Arabidopsis thaliana: one gene and its partners. The protein of the gene in region 2 interacts with the protein of the main gene of each other region in a pairwise test. Each region holds a gene or a part of one and is shown on either strand. Other genes may lie near its edges.

Evidence for each region. Proteins that work in one complex are often made in the same cells at the same time.
Region 1: the proteins of UEV1D-4 (region 2) and AT5G41350 interact in a two-hybrid assay, tested with the Arabidopsis thaliana proteins (one large-scale study listed by BioGRID).
Region 3: the proteins of UEV1D-4 (region 2) and AT5G38895 interact in a two-hybrid assay, tested with the Arabidopsis thaliana proteins (one large-scale study listed by BioGRID).

What each region holds. Positions count from the first base shown.
Region 1 is NC_003076.8:16,540,959-16,546,045, forward strand, and holds AT5G41350 (RING/U-box superfamily protein), read right to left. Parts: upstream 3,015-5,087; 5' UTR 2,431-3,014; coding exon 2,428-2,430; intron 2,254-2,427; exon of another isoform or gene 2,207-2,253; coding exon 2,066-2,206; intron 1,896-2,065; coding exon 1,466-1,895; intron 1,357-1,465; coding exon 1,247-1,356; intron 1,098-1,246; coding exon 1,068-1,097; 3' UTR 504-1,067; downstream 1-503. Other genes in the region: XPB2 (homolog of Xeroderma pigmentosum complementation group B 2), read left to right, coding at 3,616-3,625, 3,725-3,768, 3,856-3,928, 4,009-4,177, 4,260-4,482, 4,585-4,641, 4,949-5,087.
Region 2 is NC_003074.8:19,493,861-19,498,375, forward strand, and holds UEV1D-4 (ubiquitin E2 variant 1D-4), read right to left. Parts: upstream 2,236-4,515; 5' UTR 2,095-2,235; coding exon 2,061-2,094; exon of another isoform or gene 2,038-2,060; intron 1,549-2,037; coding exon 1,409-1,548; coding exon of another isoform or gene 1,406-1,408; intron 1,223-1,405; coding exon 1,043-1,222; intron 959-1,042; coding exon 818-958; 3' UTR 517-817; downstream 1-516. Other genes in the region: AT3G52561 (uncharacterized protein), read right to left, coding at 3,328-3,627. UniProt on the Arabidopsis thaliana protein: Has no ubiquitin ligase activity on its own. The heterodimer with UBC catalyzes the synthesis of non-canonical poly-ubiquitin chains that are linked through 'Lys-63'. This type of poly-ubiquitination does not lead to protein degradation by the proteasome.
Region 3 is NC_003076.8:15,569,343-15,573,818, reverse strand, and holds AT5G38895 (RING/U-box superfamily protein), read right to left. Parts: upstream 2,566-4,476; 5' UTR 2,545-2,565; coding exon 2,515-2,544; exon of another isoform or gene 2,499-2,514; coding exon of another isoform or gene 2,491-2,498; intron 2,365-2,490; coding exon 2,183-2,364; intron 1,883-2,182; coding exon of another isoform or gene 1,866-1,882; coding exon 1,616-1,865; intron 1,536-1,615; coding exon 1,133-1,535; intron 875-1,132; coding exon 765-874; intron 537-764; coding exon 504-536; downstream 1-503. Other genes in the region: AT5G38900 (Thioredoxin superfamily protein), read left to right, coding at 1-74; AT5G38890 (Nucleic acid-binding, OB-fold-like protein), read right to left, coding at 2,921-3,012, 3,282-3,363, 3,594-3,678, 3,763-3,851, 3,949-4,023, 4,160-4,312.

The DNA of each region.
Region 1 (5,087 bases), on a different chromosome or scaffold from region 2:
ATCTGATTTTATTATTTTTAAAGTTTTCAATTTTGTTAAATTTAATTTTTCATTTAAACCAATGGCGTGACAAAAAAACCTCTATTTTATACTGTTTTACACAGTAATGGTCACTCAAAACGCTTTTCTGGCGCGTTGAAGTTGTTGGTCGACAAAAATAGTTGGATGGTCATGCCCGATTACAGTCTAAAAACATGAATCTGTATAAGTATTTAACTAGAAAAAACAAATTAGACAGGAAATTTTTTAAAAAATAAAAATATTTGTCCAATATACCATTAGCATGATTCACTATAATTAGCAACTATTCATCTGTCACTTACTCACTTGTGACAAATATTATTTATTAAACAAAGCAATGACTAATATTGCATCTACATGTAACAATATCATTTACTAGATAAGTCTCATTTAATTTGACGTACTCATGTAAGTAAGATGTACGACAATACGACATCACATATTCAACTAATGAGACAACTAAACAAACCAAGTTTCGAAAATGTGAAGAACTAAGAAATCTAAAACATAAACACTACAAACTAGTAAGTATAAACAATTTTCATATTACATATCACAGAACAACATAAAGAAAATAAATAAGCACTAAACCAAACTAAAATCGAACCGTAATAAACCCAATCCATACATAACAAACTCTCAATTTCAGTTTGATTAATATTTTTCTTAAACTCAAGAAAAAACTGAATCAAACCCAAATTGAAACCCCAGCTTTAAAACACTCCTAAAATAACCTATAAACAAGAATTACCAAAATTAAAACATCTAGAAGAAAAATTATCAGTTTTGTCTCGTTTTTTATTCACAGAAGTGAATCTAAAGCACAAACTCTAATTCTTAATCTCCGTTTTTTTGTAGACGATTTGAAACGTCTGTACACAAACATATGTATATCAACACTGACATGTTTCGTAAATCCAACTTTGTGATCAGCTATTAGTGTATTCTTACCCATTTTTTCTTTTTAAGTTTTTCTCTTGTTCTCCAATTTCTTTCTTCTGATACAGAGAGAATTGAGCCTTCTAAGATGCGGCATTTGCGGGTTGCTAGTCAAGAGTAGAGTCAAATACCATTTCCTGCAGAACAAACGGATCCTCTCAGACATATCCCGGGAATTAAAATGAATTTGTAAACAAGCTAAATTGGAACTACTCATTATTTACGGTTTACTTAGAGATTAGAGTTTTTCGACATACACCAAAGAGAAGTGAATAAAAGAATGTACCTTGTTGCAGACGGGGCAGGTTTCACTTCTCTCCATCCATTCTAGAATGCATGCAAGGTGAAAATGGTGATCACATTTGGCTACAAGTTTCGGGTTCTCGATATCATATTCTGAATCAAAAGCACAGACAATATAATAAATAACCCATTCTCGCAGTCATGTAAGGTACGATTATGTTTATATGTTTTTGAGATGTGGGAAAGGCAAACAAGCTTTTACCTTCCAAACATATGGGACAATCCTCCTCTTCCTCTATTGGTATAAAAACAGCTTTTGATAGCTTCGGGTCTATTTCTTCAGTAGATTCAAGATCAATCTCTGTTTGGATTTTGCTATCTGTCTCTTTATGTGAGCATGTAGTTGGAACCCCGAGAGTAATACCATCAACTGTTTCTTGAGCAGACTCGGTATTAGCAGAGTCCACCGAAACCTCTCTTATATCAACACAAGTAGCCTCTTCACCACTAGCTGGTGTTTGAGGAATCCCTATAGGCACATCGAAAGGGGTAGGCAGTGGCGGTGGTATATAAGCATCAGGAGATGATGTCTCTAAGTTTGTGTCTACTACTACAACACCAGTAGAGATTGCAGAGGAAGTCCTGTTATGAGCGGAAGATAAAGGCACACGCTCTTCTGTTGCCCTTGGGTACTGCAAAATACAAGTCATAAAACAAGTTATATTCCCATATGAATCTCGAAGCCCGTTGGGGCTTTTAACTCATTTAGTGTCCTGAAGCACATCAAGATTGATTTATTTGCAGCCTATCAAAGCAAGGACACCCAAAAAAAACGAGGAAGTGGGAGAAGTATCAGACTAACGTAGTAGTACGCAGGTCCATTATCTACATCAGCTCTTCGTGAAGAAGAACAACAACAGCAACCTCCCATCTCTTCTTCTCTTTTTTTTTTTTTCTGTTTTACAAAAACTACAAAACCCGAAGACTCTTCATCTATGCTAACCTACAAGATATGTGAAGAAACAAATTACATTCTGAGATCAGTAGGAGAATATTTATCATCTATATGCAAGAAACTCAAACAAGCTTTATCGTTTTCGATATCAGTTTGAGCTGTCTACTAAAGTCTGATCAGACTCATCATGCTAGTAGCAACAATAAAACAATTCAGCTACTAACAGTTCAAATTCACTCTCAATAATCAAAGATACAATAAACATCAACCATTAAAATCGAGACAACAGTGTTGCGACTACAAGCCTATGTGAATCTCCTACAATTCTCATTCTCTTTAGCACCATCTACACACAATTGCAATAAATTCAAATCAGTTTTACACTAAACCCCAAAAACTTAAAACAATTCTACTCAGAATTTAACTCCAACACAAACAATGAATCCACAAAAAGAACCAAAGCTCCATTAAGAGCAAGCTAATCCGTAAAACCCTAAACCGAAACTTATAAAAGCAACAATAAACATCAGAATTCTCAGAATCTAGCATAAACACATAGGAGAAATACGGATCAAAACAGTAAAAAAAAAACCCACAGAATTTCACACAAAAATCAAGCTCAAAACCTAAAGAAAAGCGATCACTAGCAAGAACAAACACCAAAGAAGAACCGATCATCTTCTCGAGATTGAATCAGAGAAGAGGAATTAAAAATCTCAAAATCATAGAGAGAATTTTACTTTTTGTTCTTGGGGGAAGCTTTTTTTGTTTTGTCTTCGTCTTTCTCTGCTTCTGTGCTTTTTGCGGTGCTGTGTTTATCGTGCGCTCTATCAAAATGACTTTCCTAAGAAATTACAAAGACTCTTTTTGGGCTCAATATTATATTTACTTACCTGATTTATTAAATTCATTAATACAATTATTAATTAGCTGATTAATTATTTTATTTTTTCCGTTACAATGTATTTTTCAAAATTTCAATAATGAAATTACATAACTGAAAATCGGCTGAAAAGTGTCGACCAAAAAATTATAAATTGGGAAGTACCATTTTCAGTAAAATTATTACTATTTTTTTTCCGGCAAATAATTTATCGATGTTTAAAAAAGAAACATGGGCTCAAACTTAAGAATAAAGCCCATTTAAAGAATCCTATTAAAAGCCCATATTTGATCTGTTACTGCAGCCTTTATATATGAATCGTGTTCTTACGTTTCTGCTTAACAATTTCCTTCCTCCGCTTCAAACGAGTCACCGACTCGACACAGGAATCCGAATTCGCCGGAGACGCAGCTTGCTTCGTTGAATAGCTTACAACGGGAAATTACCACGAAGACGGTTGTATATTCCCTCCGTCGTACAATTTAGGTTATGTGCGAATTCACAAATTGAAAATACAAGAGAAACAATCCCTAAAATCGATTTGATTAAGAGGAGCGAAAAGAAGAAAATCAATATGGGAAACGGTAATGGTCTCGAATCTCGATCGTACTGAGTTTTGATTCGTTTATTGAATTATCCGGTGAAAAGAGTATGCTAATACTGGGGAAAATGTTGATGTTTAGATGAAAGAAAACGACCTACAAAGAAGATGAAGTACGGTGGGAAGGTTCGTGTTGATTCTTCTCCACATGACTTTTTTTATTTATTAGGCTCTTCACTTCTAGTTAGTGTAATTGTACTGTAAAAATCTCAGGATGATCAAAAGATGAAGAACATACAAAACGTTGAAGATTACTATGATGATGCTGATGAGGATTCTCGTGATGGTAATATTGATTACTCTCGTATAATTAACATAGATACATTGGGAACAAAATTGAAATAGAATTTATAATGGTTTTTAAAGGTGAAGGAGAGGAGAAGAGGAGAGATTTTACTGATTTGGAGTTGAAGCCGGATCATGGAAATAGGCCTTTGTGGGCTTGTGCTGATGGAAAGATTTTCTTGGAGACATTTTCTCCTCTCTATAAACAAGCTTATGACTTTCTTATCGCCATTGCTGAACCCGTTTGCAGGTTTGATTTTGATTTGATTATTATATCAATGTACAAGTTATGATTTTTGTTGTTGATTTTCATTCATTTGTTACTATTTCAGGCCTGAGTCAATGCACGAGTATAATTTAACCCCACACTCGTTGTATGCTGCTGTTTCCGTTGGTCTTGAGACAGAAACTATCATCTCTGTTTTGAATAAGCTATCTAAGACCAAGCTACCCGGGGAGATCATTGATTTCATCCATGCTTCTACTGCTAATTATGGGAAAGTGAAGTTGGTATTGAAGAAAAATCGGTATTTTATTGAATCACCATTCCCGGAGGTAAGTTCACCAGACTGATCCTCTTTCTCTAGTTATGCGTATGGGATTTTTGTGTAGTTTCTCTGTTGGTTTTGCTCACTCGTTAAATATAAACAATCTTAGGTGTTGAAAAGGCTTCTCAGTGATGATGTCATAAATCGAGCAAGATTTACTTCTGAGGTATGTTGAACTCCTCAATTTAGTGCTTTATGTTTACTATTACTGGATGGAAATACATACCATGATCTGTTGTTCTCAACAGTTTTTGCATCTTTTGATACCAATGCGGCAGAGAGATCTATCCTGATTCTCTTGGGGCTATTGGTTTCGTGTTTAAATTCTAATTTTTTCTTGAACTATTTAATAGATAAATAAACTCATTATCCTTCTTTTTAAACTCCTTGGTTCATTGAATGTGAAATTGATATCTCTTATACCATTGTATTCTCCACAGTATGTTGAACCAACTTATTAACTTTTTTTCTAGCCATATTATGGTGGTGATGGATTTACGATCGGCAAAACAAGTGGTGAACTTGAAGCAGGACCTGGGGAGTTGTTGAATGAAGCAGAATTGGCAGCAGCAGCAGAAGAGAAAGAAACTCACTCATTTGAGATAGACCCTG
Region 2 (4,515 bases):
CTTGAAATCTGATGAAACATAAATTAATTGAGCTTCTGAGCAATGTGTAAATGTGTTATAGGTTTAATTACGTTCAACCACTTTTTTCATTTATTTAATAAGTTGATTTTCCAAGACCACTCGTAATCAACTTTCATGGAGTCCGTTTATGGTTAAGACCACTCGTAATCAACTTACAAGCAAGTTAAACAGTGTCCTAAAAGTAGAAGTCTACATGTCGAAGAATGATTGTTTCTATGTCAAGAACGACGACGCGGAACATCAAGAAGTACATGCAAATCGACGTGCATCATCATCAATAAGAAGTGTGCTAATTGTAGAAAAAAGTAACACTTAGTTTTCAAAGGTTCTATTAATCACCGTAAGCATTGGCTTTAGATGAATCACAGAAACAAAAATAAGGGTTACGAAGCTGTTCATGGCTTCTTTTTCCATTAGTTCGGATTACAAAGATTCATGATTTTTTATGATACTTTCTTGTTTTAACCTTGGTGTATTACATAACAAATAACCAATTAAATATAGCAGATTTCATTTATATATAAAAAAAGGGCTGACACAAAATGTTAAATTCAAAAGATTGAACACATGGAGTGAGGAAGAGAAGCTGTTTTTGATATTTGCACACAATGATAAAACTTCAGATGATCAATCGGACAACATCATCATCATCACCATACCATCCACACAGACCATTTTTTGATGAATTAAAAAAAAAAAAGCGTTGAGAACGACAATGGAGGACCCCCAGATACATACTTTGGTATTAGAAGGGGCAATGATTTTCTAGCAAACCAGAAGAAGATTCCAGAAGTAACTAGAAGCAAGTACCTTCCGGAGGTTGAACAAGCTTACGGTTATGCGACGTAGACATTTCCTTCTTCAACTGTACCAGTATATCCTCCATTGTGTACTCTCTTTGCCAGTTTGCAAGTAGCCCAAATTTCTTAGGATCCACCTATACACATACGCATAAAAAAATTACAGAGCATCCAAAGAAACAAAACAGAGAAAGGAAGGGCGGTGGTGAGTTTATACGTACCACTCCTGTTTCGTGGTTGACACAAGCCATGTTGACACGTGAATGGAATCGGACAGTTGGAGGTTTCTCCGGGTAATCTTTGTCACAAAAGAGCTTCAACTGATAGATTCTACCTTCATGAACAGTCTGTGACATAAAATTTATCTCTGTTACTACAAGCAAAAGCAACAATGGCATAATCTGCTCAAATAAAGCTTAAGAGATTGTATGTCGATAAGATCAATGCCTAGAAAACAATGTGGTTTTGATGTTCTGTATTCCAAGCAATGAGATGCAAATAATATTAATCTATGCTTCTCAAAACAATTGTTAACATATATGAAGACGAAGGAGAATGTTAGCAGATAAAGAAAAAGATATAACTACGTTGTGAGGACCGATGATGGTGCCAGTCCAAGAACGCATATAGATGTCATCTCCATCATCCATTCCATAGCTCACAGTTCCATCCCCAATACCTTTCTCCCCACGTTCAAGCTCCTCCAACAACCGAAAATTCCTCGGAACTATATTGCAATAACAAGCGTAACAAAAACAATTCATATCAGTAAATGAAAACAAGCAATCACTTTTTTTAATCAAAGCAGAGAACAGAACATATCATATTAATCATTATCCACAAAGACTAAAATAAGATAACACTCAACAAAGTTAACAATGAGCTATAGAGAAGATGAAAACATTCCTAGCTAAGGTCTTAGAAACAATAAGAAACTCAGGAATAGCATTTTAAACCCATCTCAGGAATTGAGACATCAGCAAATCATTCTCAGCGATTTGTTAAAATTGATTGATTCAGATCAAGCTATATGCGAACAATTTAGACAAAGCTACAATTTTTTATACTAGATCGATAGAACCTATGAGAAATCTCAACACCTATTGATCAAAACGAATAAAACCAAAAGAAGAATTCACCAAAACCCTAGAGAAAAAAAAACAAACGAGGGATTATTCCAAAACCCTAGAATCAAAATCAAAAAACGAGAACAAACCCGAAAGAATCGAAATTTTATACCAACAACGCTAGATCCTCCTGAGCCAAGAGTCATAATTGATGAAGTTGTGGTTTCGATATCCGATTGATTTTGAGATCTGACGAGCAGAGAAGAGAGACGAGAAGAAGTAAAGGGAGAATCGAATAGAGAGAATCTGGTGAATAGACAGAAAGCTAAAATGGGAGGGTCAAATTTGGCAAATCGGGTACTTTTGGGGAGACTGGAAAAAGTTATTTTTTTCAAATTTACCGCCCAAATTTGTTTTTCTATCATATAATTCCTTAAATTATGATAACTACAGAAACACCCCTTTTATTTTCGAGTTTTGACAACATCTATTTGTTATTATTTTAACTAGCAATGCAAAATTTCTATATACATGAAAATTATTGAAATATTAAAACTCGCTTGATTTGCAACTAAATTATCGTAAAATGTAAATTTCTTTTTCAAAAATCATGTTAAAACTTTAGGATAAAATGTTGTCACGTATATATGTCGTCGCATGTGCCTTAATATATATGAAAAACAGAAATTAATTATTTATTAGATTTTTGAAAATTTAGTACTTATAAATAGAAAAATGTCATAAAATACATTAAAACAAATTTTAGTTGCTACTTTTTCACTAAATTTAGGTTTAAAAATATTTTCTTAAATAATTTAATATTTGAAGTTTGTAAAAGTTCTTAAATTTTATTGAATTTGATGGTGAATTGTTTTGAATAAATAACGTTTTAATTGATGAAGATACAACTTTTAACCTTAATTATTGAAAATTTCATCGGATTGAATGCCGATGAAACCAAAGCAATACCATTATTAGCATACTACCAATTTGATTCTTAAGACCCTAATTCGAGACGTGTCGATTTTTTTACTTGTGTTTAAATTTATATTTTGTAATTTTTAAAAATAAACTTTCTATTTTTTTTGGCGTTTTTCATTTACATTGAAAAACTATGTTTCTCTGGAGTATACAAATAAATAAATATAAACGCAAACGCCATAACTAGCGTTTGAAACAATCGAATTCAACTCCGATGAAAATCCATCCTCGTTCATGTCATTGGCTTCCATAGTACTAAAACATGAAAATGGACAACTTAACAAAATGAACCAAGAGGGACGGCCACAAACAGAAATGATCTGTCTGTCAATTTAACATATTAAAATAGAGATTATAATTTAAACAATATGATTTATATAGAGGACTTTACAAAGAAAATTAAATTCATCATCTCAAACTCAAAAGTCCAAATTGAATAATAACTTAAAACAAATTCTCTAAAAGAAGATCAAGTCGGTGCATTTGCACTTGGGGCAACGTTGACGTTCTTGTAAGACCATAACATACATCATACAACTTCGACATCCCATCACCACCATCTCCGGCGCCTCTTCTTCATCAACCCACGACGATGCAACCTCCTCCTTCACTTCCTCCGTCCTCGTCAGGCACGAGTTTTGTGATGATGATGTGTCGCTCGATGGTGATCTTCCTTCAAACCTCCCATTAGCAACCACCGACGCCACGGTCCTCGCCGAGGGCTCAACGCTACCTCTTTTACCATTCTTGTTTCTCATTTCGATACTTCGGTTTCGTCGAGAGGGTTTTTGTATTCTTGTATTTGTTTTTCTCTGTGTTTTTCTAGGGGATGGGTTGATGGTAATGACTTCTAAAGAAAATGTATGTATGTAATATATAAGGAAGAAGAGGAGCTAAAATATGACTAGGAATTAATATTTGTTGAATAAAGTAATTATGTTGTGGAGAGAGATATGACTTTGTTTATTTCGTAATAATTTTTTTAATTGGAGGTGGGAAAGTTAGTAAAAGTATAGTAGAGACAAATATATGAAACAAAAGACAATTCAGTAAACAATGCATTAGTGCATTTAAACCAGTGCAGCAAACTATTTATTGCTAAATGTAAAGGGGAAGACTTAAATCTTACAATTTAAAAGAAGAATTTATGATTTTTTATTGGTAATCTAAATTTTAAGTAATATGTCATCCATTTGATTTGTTAATGTAACGTTAAATTATATTTCAAGAAAATAACAGTTTTACAAATACTACGATTTGTGTTTGAAAGAATTTAAACTTAGGGTTTAAAGAATAAAGAAGAAACTGAATTTGTCATCCATTTCACAATAGTTTTAATCTTATGACTTCACTTTTTTGTTTCATAAATTTGTCGTTTTGTATATTTAATGTATATTTTAAAGAAACTTATAGTTTATTTATATGGCGTATTTTATCAATTAGACTTTGTTTGTTTGATTCATTTATTAGTTAATACTACTCAATGTTTTATCTATTAAATTGTTTGTCACAGTAAGACTATTATTCAACTGATTTCTTGAATGAAAATATGTCTAAAATAACTTTAGTGACACCAATACATATTTTTCTCATAAATGTTTTTACTATTCTCTCTGTTTCATTATAAATTTTGTTTTATAATTTTA
Region 3 (4,476 bases), on a different chromosome or scaffold from region 2:
ATGGGAAGGTGAAGCTGAGTGGTGCGCAACCGCCCGAGACATTCCAGAGTGCGTTTAAAGCGGCCTCGGCTTGAAACACAATCAGTGTACTCAAGAGTTGTTGAAGTTTTACATCTATGGAGATTCTCTGTTTCTGTTGTTTGAGCTTTAAGTTATTGACTTTTCAAAGAAGTTGGTGTAATAAGATTTTTCTTTATTGGTTTGTCTAATAATTCAGAGAAGTTGATTTCAAGCACTCTTCTTCTTCTTGCTCTGATCTCAAAACAATGTTCTAGATAACAATTTTTTGAATGATTCAAACTACTTTTCCTTCCAATCATTGTCTTGCTTTATAAATGTATATAAGATATATGAGTCTATAAATTAAGAGACATCACATATTTACTGTTAAAAGGCATCTGGATATTCACAGGAGTTTTATGTACAAGTGATTTCTCTCTGTTTATTCTTTTGAGCAGGACTCAGACGCCATTATGTTCTTTGAGCAAGTCTTTATTACAATGCTAAGAAGTTTCATTTTCATCAAATGCCATCACCTGAAAGATTAGAGTGAAACAATTAGGTATGGATGCATTAACTCCAAAAAGTTAACTCATCTCATGGTTCTCTATATGACCAATAATTGTATGAGAAATGGACCACTACTTAAAATGGGGATATCAAATTCTAATACAAAATGATGCACTTTTAATATCGATGAAGGAGATTGATGGAACATTCGACCAAATCCGGGTTTTAAAGTTTTGTAGAAAGCGACGAGTTACCTTTCCACAGACGGGGCAAGTTTCACTTCTCTCCATCCATTCATAAATACAGCTAAGGTGGAAATGGTGAGAACACTTGGTGATTATCTTCGGATTCTCCAAAGTGTAATCTGCATATTGTTAAAACAAAGAACTATGAAACCAATATTACCTTAATGCACTCGCAACGATTGCCTCATCTACGTAAACTATACTATTAATGGCCTAATGGCTCAGGACTCAGGAGTGCACTAAATGAAGAAATGAAACCAAGAAAGCAACTTATAAAGATCTACTAACAACCTAACACACTCTTTACCAACAAAACTGCATATAATAGGTTCAAAGAGAATAATAACAATAGCATCAAACTAATTTTTTAGTATTACCATCAAGGCAGGTTGGACAAATATCTTCATCATCCGAATCTGCATAATAAACTTCTATCCCCGGCATTGTTTTCGACTTTGTAAAGGTTGATGAACCTTTCGTATACACTTCTTTCGAACCATCTTCAGAATCAGACTTACTCCACTTGGCTCCACCATCACCCAAAGCTTCAGAACTCATTTCAGTATCACCTCTTAACGGTTCTGATTCTTCACCTGAATGACTAGAGCCCTTAACAAAACGAAAGTACCTAGGATCAGCATCGTAAGGCAATGGTGTTGGAGGAGAATGATATACACTAGACAGAGAGTCATCAAGTGCAGTTGTTGAATTCATCACTGTAGCTGTCTCTACAGTTGAAGGTATTGGATGCATTCCCCCTCTACTAAACAACGAAGCATACTGCCCAAAAAAAATCGAACATAAAGTTTTAACTACAAAGAAACAAAAGATTCGAAGACGAAAGTGAAGAAGAACATTACCAAATCCATGAAACTCTGGAGGAAGCAATTAAGGCAAGGACAGTTCCTAGTTATGGAAGTGTTTGGATTCACATAACTCTCAAAGAGATCAACTTGAAAGCAACAACAGAAAGCACCCATATCTTCGAAATCAATACTTTCAAATTTCACAGAGAATGAGAGAGGAAAGCCAATTTCACAGAAGATTTTCACTAGCTCCCGTAAACCAGAATCCTTCCTCTCTCTTCTTGGTGCAAAACTCTTGTTCCTCCTACACAGTAGAATCACCTGTAAGAGAAACATATAACATTTCTAAAACCAAATGAATAACTAAACTTGAATAAGCTAATACACATCACAAAACTATACAATTCGAGCAAAAAAAAACAGTTTTTTTAAGGATTCATTGTTTAATGTACGAGCAAAAGCATCAACCTTTCAGATAAAAAGCATCAATCCGATGAAACCCAAAAACCATCATAAGCTCATCGATCAACATCAGATGATCAGTAATGAATGGTATCAAAATCCAATGATCATCAAAGAAACTTTCAAAGGAAAACAAAAAACAGAGGAATCGATGAGTACCTTTGTGATAGAGACCTGAGAAAATCCAGAAGCAAGAGAAAACCCAGGAATTTTCCGGTATTGACTAATTCTAAAATTGAAGATTTTTCAGGTTCGTCGAAAAAGTGCAAAATGAAGTTTCCTGAATAATAGCGATCCTTTCTCTCTCGTCTTTGTCTTCTTCTACCTTTTGATCCATAAGCCTTTTTGGTCGAAATTTAACCAGGGAAAAACAGAAAGTTTCGTAAATAGTCCCTTTAATTTTACATATATTTAGTTATGACCCCAAACGTTTCGATTATAAAGCTTAAACTTATTCTAATTGTGACCCATACATTTTTGTATACAAAAACCATTTCTTTTCTCGGCAGCACCAAGGGCATACAGATTTACATCTCTTAGGAAGTTTGTTTCTTGATTTTCTGCTAAGTTTTTATACTACCAACTCACCAAGAAATTGCGACAATCGAATGAATTTTTAAGTTGTTCCGAGCTAAGCCTAGCATTTCCACATTGTTGGAGTTATGGATTTATGTTCAAATTCTAACAACAAAATGTCTTTCGAGTTTAAGAAGTTGTAAGTATCCTAATAATAATAGTATCCTGACTATTGTCGAATAAAGGTCAAGTTGGTCTAAAGTTATCTCTACACTTGATAACAAACAACAGAAGAGCTCAAAATTGTAATAATCTCAAATGTCTGTCTTGCTGCAGAGACCACACCTCATTATGTGAGAGAAGCCAAGTGTTGTCTTGAATTCAATTACCCACCTTGGCAACTTTTCTCTGCTCGGTTTGGCCCGACAAGGGGCACTGCATCTCTGTCCAACTTATCGGAACCATTGTTTCGCCTGCACAATCACCAGACCACATAAACATTTCGATTACTCAAACGGAAATTAACTTCGTATAGTATTATAAACTGCCCAAAGAAGCAAATGCATCTACACATTAACATACTCCAAGTCCAGGACGAAAATATTTGTTACTCATAATTCCATAATGAGAACTACAAGTTAGAAATGTATTACAATTTGATATGTGATAGATTAGCTATATAATTAGTAATCTTTGCCCTCATTACCCTTTATTTAGTTTCTAAGAGTAGGAAAAAAATTACCCGCAGCACTTTCAGCTGAGACCACACCAAGTTCATTCTTAGCAGTTGACAAGTAGTAAGCCCGTGCATCACCAAGAGACAGCTTTAAGAGTCCAAGTTAAGGCAACTTCAGATATTATCACCCAAAACATCATCTATTATTATAGACTACACCTACGCTACATTCAAATTAAACTATACAAAGAGATATGTAAGTAAAAAGAGAAAATAAATGGCATAATGTAACAAATCTTAGAATTGTCTCTCCTCTAATAAACAATGTTAACCACTGTACTACTAGACAATAAGTGTGAAACATAAGCGCAAGGATACAACCATAGCTCTAACAATGTCACCAGCATGGAAAGACTGATGCATGTCAACTTTGTCAATCTCTGTTGCTCTAACATCTTGTTGCCTATGAAAGAGCAAACACAAGTTAGATCGACACATAAAAGAACAAACCTTGAAAATAAACACCAAAGGAGGATGAGAAATTCACCTAATTACACCAGCAAAATTTTCACGAACGGCTTTTGAACCAACACACAAGATATCAACAGCAGCCATCTTAGTCATAACTTTAGTCACCTATCACGAATAACAGAGAATAGTGAGTGATGAAATTACTCTCTTTTTTTCCAAGTATGAACATCAATGAATCCAATGAAATAAGTGCAGGACTCACTCTTGCTATGACAACAGAACCAGTCTCTGGAATAGGACCATGTGCCTTGTGACCTGTAACTTCCACAATAGCTCTCTGCTTACCATTTTTATCATCCAATAAGTTATATATCCATAACAATCACAAAAACAAGTATAACAATCCAACGATTTCGATTTCGATTACGAATAGATGTGCCAGAAGAATTAATCACTTGGAACAAAGACGAAACCTGATCAATTGATTCGGGAAGAGGAGAAACAATCCGGCAAGTTCCTGTGAGGGAAGCGTAGATGGTGGCGTCGTTGACGTAAGCTCCTTTTCCAGCTTTAAACTCTGTCGCTTTCCCGATTACATCTCCCGGCGTTACTAGCCCCGTCGTCATTGTTTCAAAATTTTCCGATTTGAGAGTATCAAACAAAACCCTAGGAAGGAACCTCTGGGTTTTAGATTGAGAAAATTAAAACAATTCGGAATCCATCCCTTTAGTGTTATATAAATTCAACTTTGACCCTAAATGTTCTGGTTGTAATTTTAAACTATTCTAAT